Anolis sagrei: one gene and its partners. The main gene of each other region encodes a partner of the protein of the gene in region 3 in a complex. Links are inferred from orthologs where the notes say so. Each region holds a gene or a part of one and is shown on either strand. Other genes may lie near its edges.

Region 1 (7,558 bases), on a different chromosome or scaffold from region 3:
TGATAGACAGAATGCACAACACCTTAACAACATAACAGGAATGCGGTCTCCTTTCATGAAGGCCTTGCCTCAGCCAATTTATGGAAATGCAAGTGCTATGCCAAATCTGCAAAAGAACTATATGTCTGCTTTATACTCACAGCATCCAGTGCAACTGATGAATAGCAGATTGCCTCCGCTAAGAAGGCAACCTCTCAATTTGACCCCTCCCATGAATGTTTCTTCCCCCTGGAAACAGCAACCCCTACACCCCAAACCTAGAAATATTGTGAGGCACTTAAAAATGCCAAATGACTCATTAAGCAAAGTGAAACATTTGCAAGTAATTCCCAAGGGAAGAGCTGTTCACATGGAGAAAATTACTAAACAACACTGAGGCAAGCAAGCCGGCGGAGCATGAAGGCCACAGGAAGAAAAAGGATTAAATTCAGTTCAGCTAGAAAGCTATTACAGGGCTGGGCAATTCCCTTGGTACAAATAGTTACATAGGAGATATACAATGAGCTGGGAAAACTGGAGCTCATTAGCATGGAATCAGCAAAACGCACACATTATTTTCACTTGAACTGGATATTGTGCCAGGATAGAAAGCTTCAGCTGCCAGCAGCAAAAGGAAGAACCAAAAACCAGCCCTCTTTGTCATCTCTGCTTTAGCCACTGGACAGTTCCACTTGCCAAGAACGGCTGACCGCCAGCAGCCAAGTAAGGGTCAGTCCTCCATTTTTCAATTCGAATGTTAAAACTTTTTCATTTTTTTCCTGTATAATTGGTTTATATTATTACTCTATATCATTTTTTTCTTTCAACTGCCCTGTGATTATCTGACAACCTTGTGGGACATAAATACAATAAAGCCGCAGCAAACTGAGCAGACTTACCACAAAGGGACTCAGATCGGCTGTGTTGACCAAATACCACAAAGAGGTAATCCAAGGCAACATGTGGCAAGACCACCAAAGTTGCAGGATGCTCTAATTGTGGCCCAGAATTTGGAGTTTCCTATGACTTTGTCTATATAAACCAGGAGTCCTCAAACACTGCACATATCTGATTTGGACTATTGCAACGCCCTGTATGTTGGCCTTCCGATGTCTACGACCCGAAAGCTCCGTATTGTTCAGAATACGGCAGCCAGGTTACTCACAAGAAAACTCATGAAATGCCATATAACACCAGTGCTGCAACATTTACATTGGCTTCTGTAGTGAAATTGCTACTCTGTGTTAAAGTTTTGGTGCATAGCTCTATGTTTACATATGGCAGAAAGGGAAGAATAGGCACAGACAGGGTAGCAACAGCAGAGATAGGATTCATTTGCATATGTGAAGCCAATTGGTCATATGCAGATTAGTGTAGGCCCAGGATTTGAAAAGGCTGCTAGGCCAAAATGACAGTTGGGGAGAGCAGAGCTGAACATTCCAAAGGGGCGGATCCAAGGTTCTAAAAGAGGCAGTTAGAGTGAGGGAGTTTGAAAATGACAGTTTGGAATCTGTGTGTGAAGAGTTGGTTTTTGAGTGCCTGATAGAAATAAACAGTTATGAAGATGTGTTAAAGACTTCTGATACAGAGAAGCAGTTAGTAAATAGAGCTCGAGTTTAAAGGAATATAGAGAAGGCTAGTGTTGCCTTAGTTCAGAATATAATTCAGCCAAGAGTGTGTAAAGCAAGTAACATGTTTGTGAATATGAAACATTGAGAGTTTATTCAGAAAAGTTAACCAAGTAAATGATATTGACTGTAAGCCTCAAGATTGCAACAAAACACAAATGTAACCACAAGCGTTGGAGCCAGAAGTTATAAATAAACTGTGTTACTTGGTTTTACACAAGAGTGTTTCATTGCCTGCGATATACAATACAAAGGTTTGACAGCACACAGAAAGCCCCTACCAATATAAAAGAAGAAACTGAATCAGTATAAGGCAGCAAAGAAGTTTTTAAAAGAGGAAATAGTCTCTCTCCCTCGCCTCAGCTTCCAAATGAGTACCGTGGCCTGTATAAGATGTTAGTTCTGACCTTTACGGCCAGGGTCCATCATACCTTAGGGAGCGCTTCTCCTCCCATCATCGGAGGTCGCAACAACCAGCCCAACGCAACTTACTCTATAGACCGGGTCCTAGAGAAGTGCACTTGGAAAGTACCAGATGCAGGGCTGCTGTGCCCAGGCTGGTTCCTCAGGTGCTCTGCTATGGCTGACTTCTCCGGTTAACGTGGTCTGCAGTGCCTTTCATGTTCCTTGATTTGTGTTTGGGCAATGCTGCGTTTGGTGGTCCCTATGTAGACTTGTCCACAGCTGCATGGTACACAGTAGACTCCTGCAGAAGTGAGAGGATCCCTCTTGTCCTTTGCTGAACGTAGCATTTGTTGGATTTTCTTGGTGGGTCTGAAGATAGTTTGTATGTTGTGTTTCCTCATCAGCTTCCCTATGCGGTCAGTGGTTCCCTTGATGTATGGCAAGAACACTTTTCCTCTGGGTAGATCTTCGTCTTTATTCTCATGGCTTGGTCTTGGTCTTGCAGCTCTTCTGGTGTCTGAGGTGGAGTATCCATTGGCCTGTAGAGCCCAGTTGAGGTGGTTCAGTTCATCTTGGAGGAGGTGGGGTTCGCAGATTCTTTTTGCACGGTCTGCCAAGGCTTTAATGGTGCTTCTTTTTTGACTTGGGTGATGGTTGGAGTTTTTATGTAGATATCTATCTGTGTGTGTGGGTTTTGAACAAAATGAACAAAATCTGGCTACCAGTATTAAAAACTCTAAAATCACAACAGCACAGCAACAGAGAAGAAACAAACAAGGACATCTAATCACCTCTCAACAAAAGATTGCCCCAGGCACTGCCAGGCCATCAAATGCTAATCAAGGTGGTCAGTTGAAATATTCACAATTTCCCCTTCCCTTCTGCTTTCCCCTTCCCTTCTGCTCCCTCACCCATATTGTGCTTGAATCGTTATATTTATATTTTTAATGTACCAAACATACCAAGCTTTTATGAAAATGTGACTATTTTCTGTGCTGGTCAATGACCGAAATAAATGATTTGATTTGAAACATTCACACCTAGCTCCAGCAGACAAGAGTCCTTTGTCTCGCCCTGGTCATTCCACAGATATATAAACCCATTTTCCTACTTCCAACAGACCTCACTACCTCTGAGGATGCTTGCCATAGATGCAGGCGAAACGTCAGGAGAGAATGCATTTAGACCATGGCCACATAGCCCGAAAAAACCTACAACAACCCGAAGAGGATGTTGTTGTGAGAGGGGTCAAAATGTCTTCCTCTATTAGGTTCTTGTGGGTTTTTTCGGGCTATATGGCCATGTTCTAGAGGCATTTCTCCTGACGTTTCGCCTGCATCTATGGCAAGCATCCTCAGAGGTAGTGAGGTCTGTTGGAATTAGGACAATGGGTTTATATATCTGTGGAATGGCTGGGGTGGGGCAAAGAGCTCTTCCCTGCTGCAGCTAGGTGTGAATGTTTCAACTGATCACCTTCATTAGCATTTGAAGGCCTGGCTGAGCCTGGGAAAATCCCCTGTTGAGAGGTGTTAAGATGTGCCTGGTTGTTTCCTCTCTGTTGTTTTGCTCTTGTAATTTTTGAGTTTTTTAATATTGGTAGCCAGATTTTGTTCATTTTCATGGTCTCTTCCTTTCTGTTGAAATTGTCCACATGCTTGTGGATTTCAATGGCTTCTCTATGTAGTCTGACATGGTGGTTGTTGGTGTGGTCCAGCATTTCTATGTTCCTTTATTGTCTGTTCCGCTTTACGGCGACACAGGGAGATACTTTTCCCCTGTTACGGCTAAACCCAAAGAGGGGCGTGGCCGAGCACTTCCGCCCTCACCGAAGACGCTGGGCGCGTCAGAGGTCACGTGCTGCTCACACCTTGCTCTTTCACCACGTCGGTCCGCAATTCTGCGCATGAGCGAGACCTCTGGGGGGGGGAGGAAATGATAGTTTGGCGCCTGCGCAGTAGAGTAATAACAAAGCAAGCGGTTATATCGTTGGTAACAAGACTTGTTAAAAAAGCAAGGTGGAGATATGCATCTGGGCCGAGTCTCAGTCTCCTATGTATTTCGCAAAGGCAAGTGCCGCGCGGCGGGAGAGTCCGCGCGCTCGCTCGCTCCCCCCCCCCCAAGCGCGAGCGCTTCTCCAGCGCATGCGCGGCGCCTCTTTCTTGACGCGAGGCCACCGCCTCCGCTTGGGAGGGAGGGAGGGAGGAGCGCCGCCTTCTTCTTCTTCCTGCTTTCCTTCCTTGCCTGAGGGAGTGAGGGAGTGAGTGAGGTGGGGCGCAGCCATGGCGAAGCACACCGTCTCCTCCGCGCGCTTCCGCCGAGTGGACGTGGACGAGTACGACGAGAACAAGTTCGTGGACGAGGAGGACGGCGGCGACGGGCAGGTGGGCCCCGACGAGGGCGAGGTGGACTCCTGCCTCAGGCAATATCCTTCTGCTGGTTTGGCCCTTGAGGGAGAGGGGGAGGGGGGAGGGAACAAGGCTTCCGGCCCACCAAGAGCAGTGCAATCTCCTCGCCTCCCCCACACACCTCAGTACCATGCAAGTTGGGAGGGAGCATTTGGCAGGACACTTGAGGCATCCACAGAGAAAAGGGGCAGGCCCAGGGCTCTTCCACACAGCCATCTAACCCAGAAAATCAAGGCAGAAAACCCCTGGTTTGAACTGGGCCATCTGAGTCCACACTGCCATATATCCCAGTTCAAAGCAGATCATAGAATCATCCAGTCCAACTCCCTGCCAAGAAGCAGGAATATTGCATTCAAAGCACCCCTGACAGATCATAGAATCAAAGAGTTGGAAGAGACCTCATGGGCCATCCAGTCCAACCCCCTGCCAAGAAGCAGGAATATTGCATTCAAAGCACCCCTGACAGGTGGCCATCCAGCCTCTGTTTAAAAGCTTACAAAGAAGGAGCATCCACCACATGCTCATCCGGAGTTTTGGAGTTAGGTGCCATCTCTATGCAGATGACACACAACTCTACTACTCATTTCCACCTAATTCCAAGGAGGCCCCTCAAGTGCTGGACGAGTGCCTGATCGCTGTGGCTGTCTGGATGAGGAGGAACAAGCTGAAGATCAATCCCGACAAGACAGAGGTCTTCCTGGTCAATCGTAAACCAGATTGGGGTATAGGATGGCAACCTGTGCTGGACGGGGTTACACTCCCCCTGAAGTCAAAGGTCCGCAGCTTGGGAGTCCTCTTGGATTCATCACTTACGTTTGAGGCTCAGGCGTCAGCGGAGTCCAGGAGGGCTTTTGCACAACTAAGACTTGTGCACCAGCTGCGACCGTACCTCGCAAAGCTTGATTTGGCCGGGGTGGTCCATGCCTTGGTCACCTCTAGATTGGATTACTGTAATGCGCTCATGGGGCTGCACTTGAAAACGGCTCGGAAATTCCAACTGGTCCAACAGGCGGTGGTCAGGATGTTAACTGGCGCTCCTTACAGGGAGAGGTCAACCCTCCTGTTTAAGGAGCTCCATTGGCTGCCGTTTACCTACCGAACCCAATTCAAGGTGCAGGTGCTTACCTACAAAGCCCTGAACGGTTTGGGACCTGCCTACCTGCGTGACCGCATCTCCATTTATGAACCCATGCGCTCCCTTCATTCATCCGGAGAGGCCCTGCTCGCGATCCCACCTGCGTCACAGGCGCGTTTGGTGGGGACAAGGGACAGGGCCTTCTCTGTGGTTACCCCCCGACTCTGGAACACCCTCCCCAAAGACATTAGACTAGCACCCATGTTGGCAGTCTTTAGGAAGAACTTGAAGACCTGGCTATTCTGATGTGCCTTCCCAGAATAGGATAACCCCCAGCACCATGTCCCAGAAACACTTTATTAGAGTTAAGATTCTCTGCACATTGCACTTACTCAGAATTCCAACATACCACCGTCACATCCAGCACTTTTTAACCTGTACCCATCATTGGCCCGGCCTGATTTTAATGTGTAATAGTGTAATGTTTTTGTCATTGCTTATGTTTTAATTTTTGCTTTGTATTGTATTGTTATTGTTTGCTGTTGTTGTGTTGAGGCTTTGGCCTTTGTAAGCCGCATCGAGTCCTTCGGGAGATGCTAGCGGGGTACAAATAAAGTTTAATAATAATAATAATAATAATTTTTCATTTATGGTGGGAATGCCCCCAAGTGAAGAATTTTTGGAAGGATATATTTACCGAAATAAACAACATTATAGGATCAAATATTATGCCGGATGCTAGGTTAGCATTAGTAATGGACACCACGTAGCTGAATGTAGAAACAAGTAAGAAAGAATTGGTGACTATTTTGCTCAGAGTGGGAAGAATTATAATAGCAAAGAATTGGAAAATAATAACTAATCTAACACTGGAAGCAAGGTATAGGGAAGTTTGGAATGTAGCTTTAAATGATAAACTAACAATGGAAATGAGGGTATTCAGGGGGGAAATTAACAGATCAGATTTTGAGGCATACTGGTTGGTCTTTATTAAATATGTCTTAGAGAGCGAAAATGGAAAACAACAGAATTTGGTTGGTCAGGAATTTTGGAGATGACATTTAATTAATGGTTGATTTAGAAATACATGGTGAAGGAAATGATACTTGTTCAGGCCTTGGTGGTGGGGCTATGTGAACACTGATTATTATTATTATTATTATTATTATTATTATACCCTGCTTTATGAAGGGGACTCAGAGCAGCTTAACACAAAAGCATCAGCATAACAATTTAAAAATATACAAATATGCAAACATTAAAACAGGATTAAATATAACCAGAATTTTTAAAAATCCTAGTTAAAAACCGTCAAAACACATTCAAAGTTAAAAATCACAGCGCACCCTTAATTGATCTTAAACACCTTCATGCTTCTGAAACTGTGGGTCCCGATCCCAAATAGCGTCCCCTTAGCTCAACGTTCGGATCACAAAAAAATTGACAACGGTAAAGAGTTTCTGAATGCTGAAGCACTGAAGCAATGTTCGGCCTTTCTGCACAGCCATATAACCCAGAATGCTTTGAACTGGGTTATCTGAGGGCCCTTCCACACAGGCCTGTATCCCAGAATATCAAGGTAGAAAATCCCACATTATCTGAGTGTGGACTCAGATAAACCAGTTTAAACAGAATATCAAGGCAGATAATCCACAGTATCTGCTTTCAACTGGATTAGCTGAGTCCACACTGCCATATAATATATCAGTGTGGATATTGTACAGCTGTTTGGAAAAGGCCTTTGTTAGTAATAAATTGCAGCGTTGCAGTGGACTCAGCAAAAAATGTTTCAGGTGTACTCCACAAAAAGAAAAATCAGCCTGTTTAGCAAGCCTTGCAAATGCTTTTTATTACCAGTAAATACTTGTATTGTTGAGGGCTTTCACAGCCGGAATCACTGAGGTGCGTGATTTCCAAGCTGTATGGCCATGTTCTAGAAGCATTTTCTCCTGAGGTTCCATCTGCCACAAATGTCAGGAAAAAAATGCACTAACAATACGGGTCATACAGCCCGGAAACCACACAATGCCTGAGTAAATATTTTATTTTATACCTATTAGATATAT
Region 2 (7,342 bases), on a different chromosome or scaffold from region 3:
ATACCTGGGGGTCACTCTGGACCGTGCTCTGACCTACAAGAAGCACTGCTTAAATATCAAGCAAAAAGTGGGTGCTATAAACAATGTCATACGATAGCTGACTGGCACAACTTGGGGATCACAACCAGACACAGTGAAGACATCTGCCCTTGTGCTTTAGTATTCTGCTGCTGAGTACACATGTTCTCACCATGCTAAAACAGTGGATGTGGCTCTTAATGAGACATACTGCATTATCACAGGATGTCTGCACCCTACACCACTGGAGAAATTACATTGTTTAGCCAGTACCGCACCACCTGACATCCGCCAGGAAGTAGCAGCCAATAATGAAAGGACAAAGGCAATGACATCTCTGGCCCATCCCCTGTTTGGATATCAGCCAACATGCAAACACCTTAAATCAAGAAATAGTTTTCGAAGATCTACAGAGATACTCGCAGGAACACCTCAGCAAGCAAGAGTCCAAAAGTGGCAGGCTAAAATCCATGGCTGATACCAAAGGAGAGACTCCCTTCTGGGCACACAGAAGACTGGGCGACTTGGAAGGCGCTGAACAGACTGTGCTCCTGAACCACGAGAGGCAGAGCCAACCTTAAGAAATGGGGCCACAAAATGGAGTCCACGACATGTGAGTGTGGAGAAGAGAAAACCACAGACCACCTATTACAATGCAGTCTGAGCCCTGCCACATGCACAATGGAGGACCTTCTCATAGCAACACCAAGGGCACTCCAAGTGGCCAGGTACTGGTCAAAGGACATTCATATACTGCCAAGATTCTAAATTGTGTGTGTGTGTGTGTTTATAAATACATTACAATGGTACCCTTGGTTTGCTCCTGATATGATAAATAAAATTATAATATTTACATGTCGTAGATTTTAAATTGCATAGTTTTGTCAAGTTGTGACCCGCCTGGCGTCTCAGTCAAGAGATAAAAGCAGGAAATAATAATAACAATAATAATAATAATAATAATAATACCACCAGGAAACAACAAGGGATATGTTCATTTCTTACGACTGATTTGTATGATTAATTCTATTCTAATATGTATGCATTGTAGATTTTAAATTGCATTGATTTTTCATGCTGTGAGCTGCCTGGCATCTCGGTCAAGAGATAAAAGCAGGAAATAATAGCAATAATAATAATATTTATAATTGTTATTATTTGAAGAAGCACCACAGAGCTATTACTTAGCTCTATTGGACTGCCATGGCTCAATGAGATTGGATCCTGGGAGTTATAGTTTGAAAACTGGGGTAGCTTTCCCTGCCAAAGAGGGCTGCTGTCTCATCAAATTAGAAACCCCAGAATTCCATAGCTTTGAGCCATGGCAGTTCAAGTAGCACCAAACTAGATTATTTCCACAGTGTAGATGCACCCAAAGCCAGTGCCTGAAATGCAAGATGTTGGTAGACTGTGACTCCCATCTTCTCAAGTCAAGAGACAATATTTTACCAGGTCAAGAAAGACAATCTTCTCAAGCCAGGCATATATCCAGCCACTTCAACTCCTCTGTGCCTCTATTTCGGCTATTACCAGCCGATCAAGTGGATTCAGGCCATTCATCTTAAGGAGCAAATGCAAGAGCAAAGCAAAGTCATCTCTATTATTTTTTCTTTTTTTTTTTTTGAAAAAAAATACTCCAATTAATTCTGCCATTTGTGGCAAGACTTCAAAACAATTTAGAGTAATGATGACTCTAATAAATAAGAAGAAAAGACTCTAGGTACATAAGTACAATAAAGCGATACTCGAAAAAGGATGTACAAAGGAAATGGGGAAAGGAGAGCCAGATAAGCCTCGGACTGGAGTCAGAAACACAGAAAGACAAGACAAGCTGATGCCACAACCAAGAAGGCGCTGCATTACCATCACAATGGAAGGCACTTCAAAACCAATTTTCCAAGAAGACTCAATATAAGAGAATTACAAGGGGTGCTGGGGTATCGAGTCAGATTTTTTGTTCAAAGCCAATTTTGCCATAGCCTTTTAGTAATAACACCTAACACAGAAAAATCTCGAGTTCGACACTTCTTGGAGTGCCATGGCTGAGTGTGACGGGATCCTGGGAGTTGTAGTTTTCCAAGGCCTGCCAAAGAGGGTGGCTGACTCTCCAAACTACGCCTCCCAGGCTCAAGTGGTCTCAAACCACATCCATCCCACAGTGGAGATCCATCAAGTGCTGCGGGATTCGGGTTCGAATCCTCCCATTGTTTGGTTTCCCCCCCAAAATCAGCCTTGCCTGACAGCCAGTGTCGCCTGACTTCCCTCTTGAAACCATATAAGGAAGTTTCCCCCGCGGCTGACATTTGAAGTCCCAGCCTTTTGGGACAGACCCGAAACAACAGCCTTTGGGGACAGGTGGCCTTGGGGACAGCAGCTCCCATCATCCCCAGCTGTTTTCAAGATCCGAAATCCCCAAGCTGGTCACTGGGTACATTACTAAAAGAAACCTTTTTACCCATCTCTCAATATAATATAATATAAATTATATTATAACAATATATTATAATAATATAATATAACAATAATATAATATAATAGGGGAGGGGAAAGGCTTTATGGATGGATTTGGAGGCATAAAATGTTGGGATCTGTATTTGTCAGTGTTCAAATAAGCGGATGCAAACCAGTTTGGGGAAAATTGTAGAGACACCAAAAAAAAAAAGGAAAGCAACAAATCCACTATCTATTTCTCTCTATATACACATACATACATACACACAAATACAAATAGAGAGGTCTGTAGTTTCGACCTATAATGTATGTTGTCTAGCTTGACATGCAATGGTTGTGAAGCATGTCTGAGTGTATGTATAAACAGGGACTGCTATTGTATATTTATTTGTGCCCTTTTTGTGTTCAGAAAAGTAATTTAAAATATTGGGGGGGGGGGGCAGAAAGTCCCAAGCTGGGGGGAAATAGACCTGGGAAAGAGAAGTCTGTTGGGTGCTACAGAAGTCCTACCAACCCAAAAAATCATCCTCACCCTCACCCCAACCTTGCTTCCAGCAGGGCAGCCATTGGGCAGGCTCCCATCTCGCTCCCGTCTGGGCCCCTTTGGGTCTGAAGCTAGTGGCTCTCTTGGGCCAGTTGGGAGTCCCAGCATCCACCTCCACCTCCACCCCCAAGCGATGGGACTTGAGATCCCCAAGGATCCATCCCCCCCTGCCCCTTACCGGCATTTTGGGAAGCACTTGATGGGAGCCGGAGAGGACAGGCTCTTCCTTCTCAGCCCGCCAGGCAGCCAAACGCGCCCTCCTCCCTTCCTGCCTGCCAGCCTTCCTTCCTCTTCCACCCAAAGCAGGAAGGGCGGGGCCCGGCAGGAGCGGAGGCAGTGGCTTCGTTGGTCAGGAGGGGGCGCCCGAGAGCAAGGCCCACGAAGAGGCCCGCTGGCTTTCAGCGCCGCGTGGAGTTCCCTGGCTCCCTGGGACTTGTAGTTCCCCAAGGTCTCGAGTCTCCTCTGCCCAAAGGGAGCTTCTCCAATAGCAAATGTACAGTTTGACCACTTCAATAGCCCTGGCTCAGTTCCCTGGGAGTTGTAGTCCCCCAAGGTCTCGAGCCTCCTCTGCCCAAAGGGAGCTTCTCCAATAGCAAATGTACAGTTTGACCACTTCAGCCCTGGTTCATTGCTCTGAGTTGTAGTTTCCCAAGGTCTTGAGCCTCCTCTGCCCAAAAGGAGCTTCTACAAGAGCAAATTTACAGTTTGACCACTTCAACTGCCCTGGCTCTGTGCTTTGGAAGCTGTAGTTCCCCAAGGTCTTGAGACTCCTCTGCCCAAACCACTTCAGCCCAGGCTCTGTGCTCTGGGAGTTGTAGTTCCCCAAGGTCTCAAGCCTCCTCTGCCCACATCACTTCAATGGCCCAGCCTCTGTGCTCTGAGAGTTGTAGTTCCCCAAGGCCTCGAGCCTCCTCTGCCCAAAGGGAGCTTCTGCAATAGCAAATGTACAGTTTGACCACTTCAACAGCACTGGCTCAGTGCTCTGGGAGTTGTAGTTCCCCAAGGTCTCGAGCCTCCTCTACCCAAAGGGAGCTTCTGCAATAGCAAATTTACAGTTTGACCCTTGCCTTCCCACTGAATTGGTACCTATTGATCTACTCACTCTTGCATGTTTTCAAACTGCTAGGTTGGCAGAATCTAGACCTAACAGTGGAAGCTCACCCCGCTCCCTGGATTCAAACCGCCAACCATTTGTTCAGCAAGTTCAGCAGCTCAGTGGATTAACCCTCTGCGTAATCAGGAGCCCCACAGCACTCCATGCTGTCATGCTGGCTGCATAACCCTTGAGGTGTGTACGGACAACACCAGCTCTTTGGCTTAAAAATGGAGATGAGACCACTCCCAGATTTGGACACGACTAGACTTAATGTCAGGATAAACCTTTACCTTTAACAGTTTGACTATTTCAACAGCCTCTAGGAGTTGTAGTTTCCTAAGGTCCCGAGCCTCCTCTGCCCAAAGGGACCTTCTACAGTGGTGAATTAACACAGTTTAACAACTTCAACTGTCTTGGCTCAGTGCTCTGCAAACCTGGGAGTTATAGTTTCCAAAGTATTGTCGAGGACACCCCCCCCCTCCCCCTTGAGCAAAATATTGATATAGTTGGCACCGCAGCGAGGAGTTCCACAGGTGACGGGAGCTCTTTTAGTTTCAAAAATCAATTTTTGCGAATGATCAGCGGTCTGGAGGAGGTTAGCAGCAGCTACCAGTGCCCAGGAGACTTATCTGCAGCCTTCTCCCCCACCCCCCACCCCCCATATGATTAGTTATCTTGTCGTTTACCCTTCAGTAAAAGGGTTATCCTTAGCTTTTGCTTCCTTGTCTTTTCTTTCGCTCTACTGAGTCTTTTCTTTCCACTCCCGCATTTCACAGCCGGCCCAGCAGCCGCTTGGGCCACATGGCCCACTTGGCCCCCATGGCCTCCCCAGCCCTGGAATCAATGCTCTCCTCGTCTCGAAGCTCCCTTTGGGCAGAGGAGGCTTGAGACCTTGGGAAACTACAACTACCAGGTTTGCAGAGCACTGAGGCAAGACATTTTAGCCGGTCAAACTGTGTTAATTCAGTATTGTAAGAGCTTCCTTTGGCAGAGGAGGCTCAAGACCTTGGGAAACGACAACACCCAGAGCACTGAGCCAGGGCTGTTGAAGTGGTCAAATTGTGTTAATTCGCTATTGTAGAAGCTCCCTCTGGGCAGAGGAGGCTTGTGAACTTTTGAAATAGAGCAATTTAAATGGCCGCAGATAATGTGATCCAGGCCATGGATAGGGAAACCTGAAGCACTGATACCAAAGTGGCCACAGAATTAATCAATCAGTCTAGTATAGAGTTTGTGTATTGTTTCTTGTTTCAATACAAATCTTCTATCTATACATATGATAAAATTGATGTGTATGTGGCAGGGGTGTCCCCTTACACACACAGCCTCCCAATTTAACCCACAGTGCTGAGGAGCCACTCAAAGCACTCCTTCCAAGGACATTTCAGGTTATGGTGGGTGCCATGAACATGTCTCCCAACCCCTGCCAATGTTCTCCACAAACACCATACTGCCTACCACCCAAGTTAAGGCTTCAATTTGGGGACAATTTCATCCTAGATGTTGTTTTTTTCCTCCAGAATGGACATCCCAGGGTTCCTTACTTTTTCCATTGCTGTGGAATTTGCATGACCATGCCCACTTTCTCTCCCTTATCCCTTTCCTATGGCACACAGCAAACAGCAACTGAACAAGAGGTTTTGGGGGAAATTGACCTTGATTTATAGCAGCCGTAGTTCACCTGCATCCAGAGCATTGTGAACCCAACCAACAATGGATCTGGACCCACTTGGCATGGATGATGGGATTTGTAGTTCCTTTACTAAGTTCCTGAGATCACTGCGGCCCGACTAATGATGGATCTGGACCAAACTTGCCACACAGACCCCTCCATGACCCACTTTACATCCTGGTGCGGTTTGCAGAAGGATGGACCACGGATGATTGGATTTACAGTACCTTCATCCACTTCCACAGACCACTGCAACCCTCACGAATGACGGGCCTGGACCAAACTTGGGACACAAAACCCCCATGACCAACAGAACATACTGTAAGAGTTTGGGGGAGGACTAACCTACCCGTGTGGGAGTTGTATTTCACCCTGCACCCAGAGAGCATTCTGAAGCCCCCAATGGCAGATCTGGAACACATGTGCTGCACAAAACCCTGAGGACCAACGAAACATAATGGAGGGGCTGGGGGTGTGTGCATATAGAGCACTCTGAACCCCATCCATAATGGATCTGGACCACAAACTTGGCACATAGACCCAATATGTCCAACTGTGAATACAGGCAGAGTTTGGGAGTGATTGCCCTGGGAATCTGGGAGTTGTAATTCACCTGCATCCAGAGAAACAGTGACCCCACCAACAATGGACCGGGACCAAACTTACCACAGAGAAACCCCATGACCAAGTGAACATACTACAGGAGTTTGTGGGAATTAACCTTGATTTTGAGATTTGTAGTTCACCTGCATCCAGAGAGCACTGAACCCAGCCAACATTGGATCTGGACCATACAGGCCTGTTTTGGGGAGGACTGACCAACAGTTTTGGGTATTGTAGTTTACCCACATCCTTATGCATTTTCTAATGGGGGCATTAATAAAAAAACAAATAAAAACTGGCTTTTTTCTAATAAATAGTGTTACTAATTAACTAAATGATACTACCTAACACCCCAAAAACAAACAATGCCTTGTTGCTTGTTGGCAACACATTCACCCTCCTTACCTTAGACTGAATCAGAGCAAAGGACAGCAATGCTGAACAAGTTAACACACTCAAGTGACAATGGCAACGCAGCCTTTTCTGTATTTGCTTCCGCCACCTGAGCTAACAAAAGCACACCAAGAAACAGATAGGAAGACCAGATACTCTCATGTTTATTATTGCCAAGGAAGCAATCAAACAATGAAATAACACAATAATTTATCTCTCAGTATGTACAGTAAACTCTCCAAGGGGGGAAAAAGTCTATGGGGCAGATCCCTCTGGGGATCTCTTTGCCTTGGCTGCATTTGATGTTTGATGCATTTGATCTTGATACCTTTCCTCAAAATGGATCCCAATCTTGTCACTCATCCACTCGCTCTTGGAAGAACTCATCAAAAGTGGAAGGTTTATTCTCCTCATTTTCCTGTGGAGGGAAAAGGATAGGAAGGATTACAGCAAACTGCATTCTTCAAGAAGGCAAAATTATTCAAAGTGTAGGGTGCATCTCTCCACTGTAGAATTAAAGCAGTTTCGGCACGACTTTCAGTGTTATGGCTCAAGGCTGTGGAAT
Region 3 (8,446 bases):
AAGTGCCTACAGACTATATTGTGTGGAGGAGAAGCTGCAAGAAATGTGTATGTAGAAACAAAATTAGCACATTCATGTTCATTCTTTCTATCAGGATTTTGTAATGTGCTTTCGCGTGAAACTATCTCAGGGTTTCCTTGACAAGATTTGTTGAGTAGGTTTGTGATTGCCTTCATCTGAGGCTGAATTAGACTTGCGCATGATTACTCAATGGGTTTCCATGGGTGCATCTACACTCTAGAAATAATGCAGTTTAAGTGCCACAACTCAATGCTATGGAATTATACGAATTGTAATTTGACAAGGTCTTTAACCTTCTGGATCAAAAAGTGCAGGTGTCTCACCAAACTACAACTCCCATGATTCTACAGGATTGAGCCATGGCAGTTAAAGTGGTCTCAAACTGTGTTAATTCTACAGATTAAATGCACTCTTTGTCTGAGTGGGGATTTGAACCCTGGGTCTCCCAAAGTCCTAGACCAGGGGTGTCAAACTCATTCTTATCAGCCTTATGGTTCAAAGGGTCATTGAATCTATGAATGGAGAATTCGTGGATTTTTTACACAGTGGTCAATGCTCTTTAGTTTTTATCTAGTTAGGTGAGGAAATGTAAAATGATCCCACTTAGAAATAAACTTGTCCAGATGGTTCTTTAGTTTGCATGAACAGTAAAAATTACAGATGTATCAGGGCATTTAGGAAATAGATATCACTTTGTATTTTCTGACAGCAGTTTGGCCTCTAAGTGTACTTTTCATTTATTTGCATCAATTTTGTGACAAAAAGACTTAGTATTTATTTTTCTAGTATTGATTCTAACCCTAGGTGGGAAAACATACCAACTGTTTAACTTTGGTTACTTAGAACATGAGATATTACTTTGCCTCCAGTGTATCTTCAATATAAATACTTAACATATGAGATTTTTGTTGTTGTTGCCCTCCCTTTTCTATCTCCCTTAGAAGTCTCCAGATGCAGAATTTTGCTTTTCCACCTTATAAGTGACAAAATGGGAACCTCATCCTCTCATAAAGGATTGTTCCACCATACTATAGACACAATTTCTTATCAGAAGAGCATGTATCATGGGTTAAAGAGGATCAAGGTGAAAGAGTGACATGTAAAGGATGAACCAAAAGTTACAAAGGGGGTTCAATATTTAATGACTTCTTTATTTTTGTTTTTAATTTACAACACCATATTGTATATGATGTATAGCATCATATACAGTATATATAAGAAATACATTTACATGAGGTGTGAAAAATCAAGTCTCATAAATGGTGTCCAATATCATAGCAATATATACAGTGTATCTATGACCCTTTCGTGGCTTGTAGCCCACCCTGTTCTATTAAACACCAACAAAACACAGCCAGATTGCCATAGGACCTTCTTAACCTTTTCATATTTTTGTACTATTCTTTGCCACTTGCGGAGGTTTATTAAGGAAATGAATGTTGCCTCTTATAAAAGAAGCAATATCCATGCTTTGTCCATTTATTTATATAGCCCAACAGCAACACACATGGTACTCCAATACCTGGCCTTTGCCCAGAGGAGCTGACACTCTGAACTTTGATGCAGGAAAGATAGTAAAAAGAAGGGAATAGCTGCATGTGCTAAAGCTTAGTCACAGTTATTAGGCTACATAGAAAAACCTGGGTTTTTACGATACAATGTAAACAGCCAAAGTCACACTCAGGCCCCCATCTATACTGACAATTTCATGCAGTTTCAAACAACTATTGAAGAAAGTGGTTTTGGTGTGCAGATGATCACATAGGAAATCCTGGAAAACCTTTGAGGCCAGGATGGTGATTACACAAACCAGAGAGCTCCGAGTAAGGGCTTTCTTTCGCACACCTTTTGTGGGTGTTTGTTGTCTGGCTGCCAGTTTGAAGCGAACTGTGATCTGCATTAAATGGTCATTGTAGATGGGGCCACAGTTTCACTGAAAATACAATCAATGTGGTACATTTTGTTAGGACCGCAAAACTGAGGGTCAAAAAAGCATATTTTTAATGTGTGGTTTTATAGGAATTTGACGCTCTTAATTTTAAAAATGACCTCAGATCTGCTCCATCCCTTACTTTCCCCCCAAAATGCTTTGATGTACTTTGTTGAAAAATGTAAATGAAATTAGTATTCAAATCATCACAGACTGAGCATCCCTTATCTGGAATCTTATCTGGGGTACTTTGTGCTTTTCCTGCATGGCAGAGGGTTGGACTAGATGTTCCACGTGGTCTCTTCAAACTCTACTATTCTATGAATGTGTTAATTCTGAAATTCTTCAAAATCAAAAGTTATCCACATGCGTTGTCGAGATAGTAACCCCTTTGCTTTCTGATGGTTCAATGGACACCTATATTTGTTCCTGCACAAAAGTATTTTAAAAATTGTGTATATAATTACCTTTCGGTTATATGTGTATTGTGTATATATGAAACATAAAATGAAGTTCATGTTTCTACTTGGGTCCCATCTCCAAGACTTCTCATTACATATACAAATACAGGTATTTCAAAAACTGAAAAAACACTTCTGGTCATTTTGCATAAGAGCCAATCAACCTGTATCAGAGTTAGACAGGTCTGAGGGATTTCAGATATGGGGAATAACATGGGATTCCCACCTCAGTTGTAATGGTGCTATTTCCCAGCATCCTCAAACAACCAAACATGAAACAAAACTTCTCAGATTTCAAGTACAGTACTTCAAAACATTTAGCTGTTCATGCCATACTTAAGCCCCATCTACACTGACCCATTAATACAATTTAAAGCTAGCTTCAAACTGCAGAAGTCTGACAACAAACTCCCACAAAAGGCTTGCAAAAGAAAGCCCCTTTAATGCACATCAGTGTTCTGTAGTTTGACTAATCTCCTGTCATCATCTGAGCAGCAAAACCACTTTATTACCAGTTTGCAACTGCATTAAATGGTCAGTGTAGATCAGGCCTTAGGGATGCATTTGGAAGTTCACACTTCAGCTTCTAAATTTGCGGTTAACCATGAAATTAGATTTTTTTAAAAAAGAAATAAATGTTTGTTGTGTTTTTCAAATACAGTACTACAATCCTGATGAAAAAAAATGTGCTTTTGCCCATGACAGGCCTTACTTTATAAACTAACCCCAAGTGCATGGTATTAAAATGCAAAGCAACATTATGTAGCAACAGGAATGAGCCGAGGCCACATCAACACAGGACTTTGATCAGGCATGGGTAAACTTTGGCCCTCCAAGTGTTTTGGACTTAAACTACCACGATTCCTAACAGCCTACCAGCTGTTAGAAATTGTGAGAGTTGAAGTTCAAAACACCTGGAGGACTGGAGTTTGCCCATGCCTGGCTTAGAGAACAAGGAATCAAATGTTATGCTGTAAAATGAATGCAGTTTTGCACCAGTTTAACTAGTGGGAGTATGTATTTATTTATTTATCGTGTCAGAAGTGGATTAAGGGTACAGTTATAATGTACTCAAAAAGACACAGTTAAAAACTTGGCATTATGCCAGATTTCCTTTGACCAGAAGCTGGCCACTTGGATTGCCTCTGATGTGGCTACAAGAAGGTCCTCCATTATGCATATGGGAGGCTCAGGTAGCATTGTAGTAGATCATCTGTGGTTTGCTCTTCTCCACACTCACATGTCGTGGACTCCACCTTGTGTTGGCTCTGCACCTTGTGGTGCCAGTCTGTTCAGTGCCTTCCAAGTCACCCAGTCTTCAGTATGCCCAAGAGGGAGTTTCTTATCTGGAATCAGCCACTGATTGAGATGCTGGGTTTTATGCTGCCACTTTTGGACTCTCGCTTGCTGAGGTGTTCCTGCGAGTATCTCTGTAGTTCTTAGGAAGCTGTTTCTTGGTTTGAGGCATTGGCATGCTGGCTGATATCCCAACAGAGGTGGGATGAAGATGTCACTGCCTTGGTCCTCTCATTATTGGCTGCTTCTTCCCAGAGGATGTCAGGTGATGCAATACCGGCCAAGCAGTGCAATTTCTCCAGCGATGTTGGGTGTAGACATCCTGTGATGATGCGGCATGTCTCATTAAGAACCAGGTCTACTGTTTTAACGTGGTGAGATCTGCTCCATACTAGGGGTTGTTTTTTTTTTTTAATTGCGTCAGGAGCAACTTAAGAAACTGCAAGTCGCTTCTGGTACGAGAGAATTGGCTGTCTGCAAGGACGTTGCCCAGGGGACGCCCGGATGATTTGATGTTTTTATCATCCTTGTGGGAGGCTTCTCTCATGTCCCCGCATGAGGAGCTGGAGCTGATAGAGGGAGCTCATCCGCCTCTCCCCGGATTCGAACCTGGGTCTTCAGTCCTGCCAGCACAGGGGTTTAACCCACAGCGCCACCGGGGGCTCTACTGCCAGGGAAACTGTGGAATCCTAGTTTGGTGAGGAACTAGCACTCTTAAGTAGAGAAGGCCTAGCACCTTGTACAACTACAAATCCTATCATTCCATGGCATTGAGCCATGGCAACTACAGTATTGCCAAACTGGATTAATTCTAGTGTAGATGCGCCCAAAAATAAATAAATAAATAAGCTCGAGGGCAACAGAGAATCGGAAGAGCTTCCGCCCCGCCCCCCTCGAGCGCATGAGCACGTGCCTGGCAAGCCAGTGTCCGCGAACGAGGCACATCTGGCGGCGCGTGCGAAGCCACAGGGAGGCCGCAACCAATGGGAGTCCGAGCTCCAAACCAGCTTCGAACGTTAGCCTTGGCCAACGCGCGCGCGGAAGAACTGGCTAAAGCACGCCTGGGCAAATCTGAGCCTTCCCTTTAGGTGTTTTGGGCTTCAACGGCCACCATTCGTAACAGCCTCAGGCCCTTTCCTTTTCCCCCTCAGCCGCTTAAGTGGAAAAGGGAAAGGCCTGAGGCTCTTAGGAATGGTGGCCGTTGAAGCCCAAAACACCTGCAGGGAGGGCCCAAGTTGACCAGGCCTAGGCTAAAAGGAAGAAGCCTTCCCCGCCTGCTTGGCATGCCTGCCAGCCGCGCATGCGCGCTGCTTTCCTCTTCCTCCCTCCCCCTTCCCTTCACGCCACTGCCTTTCCCACGTCCAGGATGTGACGCAGGGTGCCGGCTCGGCGCGGAGGTGGGTGGGGCCCCCGTGGCGGAAGCGGCTGGACTCGGGCGGGTCCCCGGTGCGGCGCGCTTCTCGGCTAGGTGGTGTCTTCTCCCCCCCTCCCCTGCCCCCCGCTCCTCCTCCTCTTCCTCCTTCTTCCCCGCCCGGCTTCCGTACCCCTTCCTCACCTCGGAGCAGCCGTCGCCATGATCCTGCTGGAGGTCAATAACCGCATCGTCGAGGAGACGCTGGCGCTCAAGTTCGAGGGCGCGGCCGCTGGGTGAGGAAGGAAGGAAGGCAGGGGCGGCGGGCGGGTGGGAGGAGTGGTGGCGGCGATGGGAGGAAGGGCGGGGTGGGGCAGGCGTTAGGACAGGGCAGCGAGGCCTACTCGCCTCACTACCTTCTTCTTCTTCTCCCCCCCCCCCCCCCCGCTTGCCCTGCGTTGCCCTCCCCACTGTTTATTCATGTATTTGCATGGCTGACGACTCCAACGTAGGGTTCACCCTTCAGCCTTCTTCCTTTTGGGCAAGTGGGTGTGGGCGGCGGGCCTCCACTTCCTCTCTCACCTTCTGGCGCTTGGGCGCTTCCGGAGCCTCCCTGCGAGGCCCCTAAGTGACTCAGGAGGTTCAGGCTGCTGCTGCCTATCCTCCCACCTCCAAGCTGTCAGGACGGATCTGTGCTTCGGGAGCTTTTGACATCACGTAGTCCTCCTTCAGATCGGGGAGGGGTGCCCTTTTTCCCACTTAGGAATGCAGTTTCACACCGCTTGGAAGTGCCAGGGCCCAGTGCTGTGGTATCACAGGAGGTGTGGCTTTACAGTAGTGGTTCTTAACCTGTGAGTCCCCAGATGTTTTGGCCTTCAACTCCAAGAAATCCTAACAGCTGGTAAACTGGTTGGGAATTGTGGGAGTTGTAGGCCAAAACACCTGGGGACTCACAGGTTGATAACCTCTGTTCTACATACTGAACACTCACATACGCAATGTATTGCCAAAGGCTTTGTTTCTTCCATATGCCTCTTTTATGGGGATATGAAGAGATCTGGTCATTTCTGTGCAATGTATTCCTGGTTAGTCAGTGGAACAGATCACATGAAGGCCCCTTTTCATTTTCTTCAGGGTCCCTTCAACATTAGGTCTGTGCTCTCCACCATCATCTTCCCCTTTCTACTCCTCTAAAGCAGTGCTACTCAACAAGTTGTTCCATGGTCCAATCCTGATCTATGAACCATCTGCACCTGGTCCCTTCTGTTCCCACAGGTTGAGAACCACTGCTATACAGGGTCTTTAGCCTTCCCTGCCAAAGAATGCTGGTGTCACACTAAACTATAAATCCTAGGATTCCATGGCATAAAATCATGGCAATTCAAGTGTTTTTTTGTTTTGTTTTATTCTATTTTTTGTTGGGTAAGAAGCGACTTGAGAAATTGCAAGTCACTTCTGGAGTGAGACATGGCCCAGAGCATGCCCAGATGTTTTACCACCCTGTGGGAGGCTTGTCTCAGGTCCCCGCATGGGAAACTCCCGTCTCACAGACCCGAACCGCTGACCTTCAGATCAGCAGTTCAGCCAGCACAAGGGTTTAGCCCATTGCGCCACCACGGCTTATGCTGTATTAATTCTACAAGTAGATGCAGTCTTGAAGGGTTTAATTGCTGGTTGCCTTCGGGTAACTACAATTTGGAATATTTGGGAGAAGAATTAGGATTTCTTTTCCACATTTTTGATTGCTTGCATATATATTTATGAGATATACTGTAAAAGGACCCATTTCCAATCATGAAATTCATTTCCAATACACATAGCCTGAAAATACAATACTGTATTTTATGTAATTTTGCACATGAAACAATGTTTGTGTCCATCAGAAAACAAAGGTATCACAACCTCAGCCACCCATGTGGACACTTTTGGATTTTGGAGGGTTTCAGGTTTTGGTATTTAAGATACGGGATGCACAGCCTGTGTAGGCTTTTTGGATAGAAGATACCAAGCCAATTGCACCGTGTGTTGCCACTTCCCTAAAGTGCTGCTGTTATTCTTCCTCTTGCCACTCACCAGGAAGTGTCGCTTTCACAGATAGCTGAATTGCAGGCCCTGGCTTTTTGATCAGGGTGTGTTCAGTACATATTTCAAGTACAGGTAAAATTATTTGAAAGTGTTTGAGAAGATAAGCATTCTTACTGCTGTCTGAGAAAGAGAACAGTAAACTCATGCACTTGGAGAAAGGACAGGTAGAGAAAGGGGTGGAGCTCCCATTGGGAAAAATTGAACAAGTGCTTATTAGAGTCTGCAGAAAGAACTGCACAATTATGCTGACAATATTTTTCCCATTGTATATGTTTAACTTGCTGTAAAGGTACGAATTATGGAGCCTTCTGGCTGTTGGGCTAAAAGTCCTAGCAGTAATAATCAACATAATCACTCAGAGAGGAATGCTGGTACTTGCAAACCAATATCATGATAGGGCTGATGTTGAACACTGGATGGTGCTTTCCTCAGACAAAAGGGACCTGTTTCTTATCTTTGACAAGTGACTTATATGGGTTGTATTTTTTTCTAGACTTCTACTTTTCTGTTTCATACTTTTCTGTTTCTACATATCTCCTAGCCGTTTCAAGTAAAAGGAGTCTGTTTTATGTATTTTGTATGTATTCATCCTGCTTGAGATCCATCTATTTCAACATTTTTGAACATTCCCCACAAATAGAGGCCTTCAGCAGGTCATTTCGAAACTGGAACCCATTCTATTTTCTGTGCATTCCTCAAATGTTGTTGTATGTCTTCAAGACATTTCAGACTTATGGTGACCCTAAAGCATAGTCAGTTTGCACAACACACTGTATCCTATCATATGATTTTCTTGGGGGGGGGGGATAGTGGAAAGGGGGTTACGTATGAATTTTTAGTCTCTTTTTTGTTAAATTATTAAAATATATATTTGGTAAAAGTCACATATGAGGAAAAGTGGTTATGTTATACTCATTTGCCCCAAATTGAATAAATAAATAATATGGTTTTCTTGAAAAGATTTTCCTTTGCTTTCCTATGAGACTGAGAGGGTGTGACTTGCCTAAGGTCACCCAGTGGGTTTTCATGGCTAAGCAAAGATTCAGACCCTTGTCTCCTATAATCATAATCCAGTGCTTAAAACTGCGATGACACACTAGCTGTCTTAATAAACCTATAAACCGTTTAACTTCAGCTGACTTTGGGCAGTGTTTAATCTGCATTCAATGGATCTCTTTCATTATGCTTATATCTAAAACGAATCTTCAGGGCAGCTGTATCACCCACTTTCATAGTTTTTTGTCACTTCAGGAAAATTATTTTGGATAAAATAGGATACAGATATACAGTGCATAGTGACTG

The links. Proteins that work in one complex are often made in the same cells at the same time.
Region 1: ARPC2 (region 3) and ARPC5 share a complex: the UniProt entries of both Homo sapiens proteins name them as parts of the arp2/3 complex. The link is inferred for Anolis sagrei from reciprocal best matches to the Homo sapiens genes ARPC2 and ARPC5.
Region 2: ARPC2 (region 3) and ARPC3 share a complex: the UniProt entries of both Homo sapiens proteins name them as parts of the arp2/3 complex. The link is inferred for Anolis sagrei from reciprocal best matches to the Homo sapiens genes ARPC2 and ARPC3.

The regions. Positions count from the first base shown.
Region 1 is NC_090024.1:122,450,202-122,457,759, forward strand, and holds the start of ARPC5 (actin-related protein 2/3 complex subunit 5), read left to right. Parts: upstream 1-4,211; 5' UTR 4,212-4,291; coding exon 4,292-4,434; intron 4,435-7,558. UniProt on the Homo sapiens protein: Component of the Arp2/3 complex, a multiprotein complex that mediates actin polymerization upon stimulation by nucleation-promoting factor (NPF).
Region 2 is NC_090034.1:42,368,069-42,375,410, reverse strand, and holds the start of ARPC3 (actin-related protein 2/3 complex subunit 3), read right to left. Parts: upstream 3,348-7,342; 5' UTR 3,198-3,347; coding exon 3,192-3,197; intron 1-3,191. Other genes in the region: GPN3 (GPN-loop GTPase 3), read right to left, coding at 7,133-7,195. UniProt on the Homo sapiens protein: Component of the Arp2/3 complex, a multiprotein complex that mediates actin polymerization upon stimulation by nucleation-promoting factor (NPF).
Region 3 is NC_090021.1:228,566,748-228,575,193, forward strand, and holds the start of ARPC2 (actin-related protein 2/3 complex subunit 2), read left to right. Parts: upstream 1-5,092; 5' UTR 5,093-5,281; coding exon 5,282-5,355; intron 5,356-5,641; exon of another isoform or gene 5,642-5,817; intron 5,818-8,446. UniProt on the Homo sapiens protein: Actin-binding component of the Arp2/3 complex, a multiprotein complex that mediates actin polymerization upon stimulation by nucleation-promoting factor (NPF).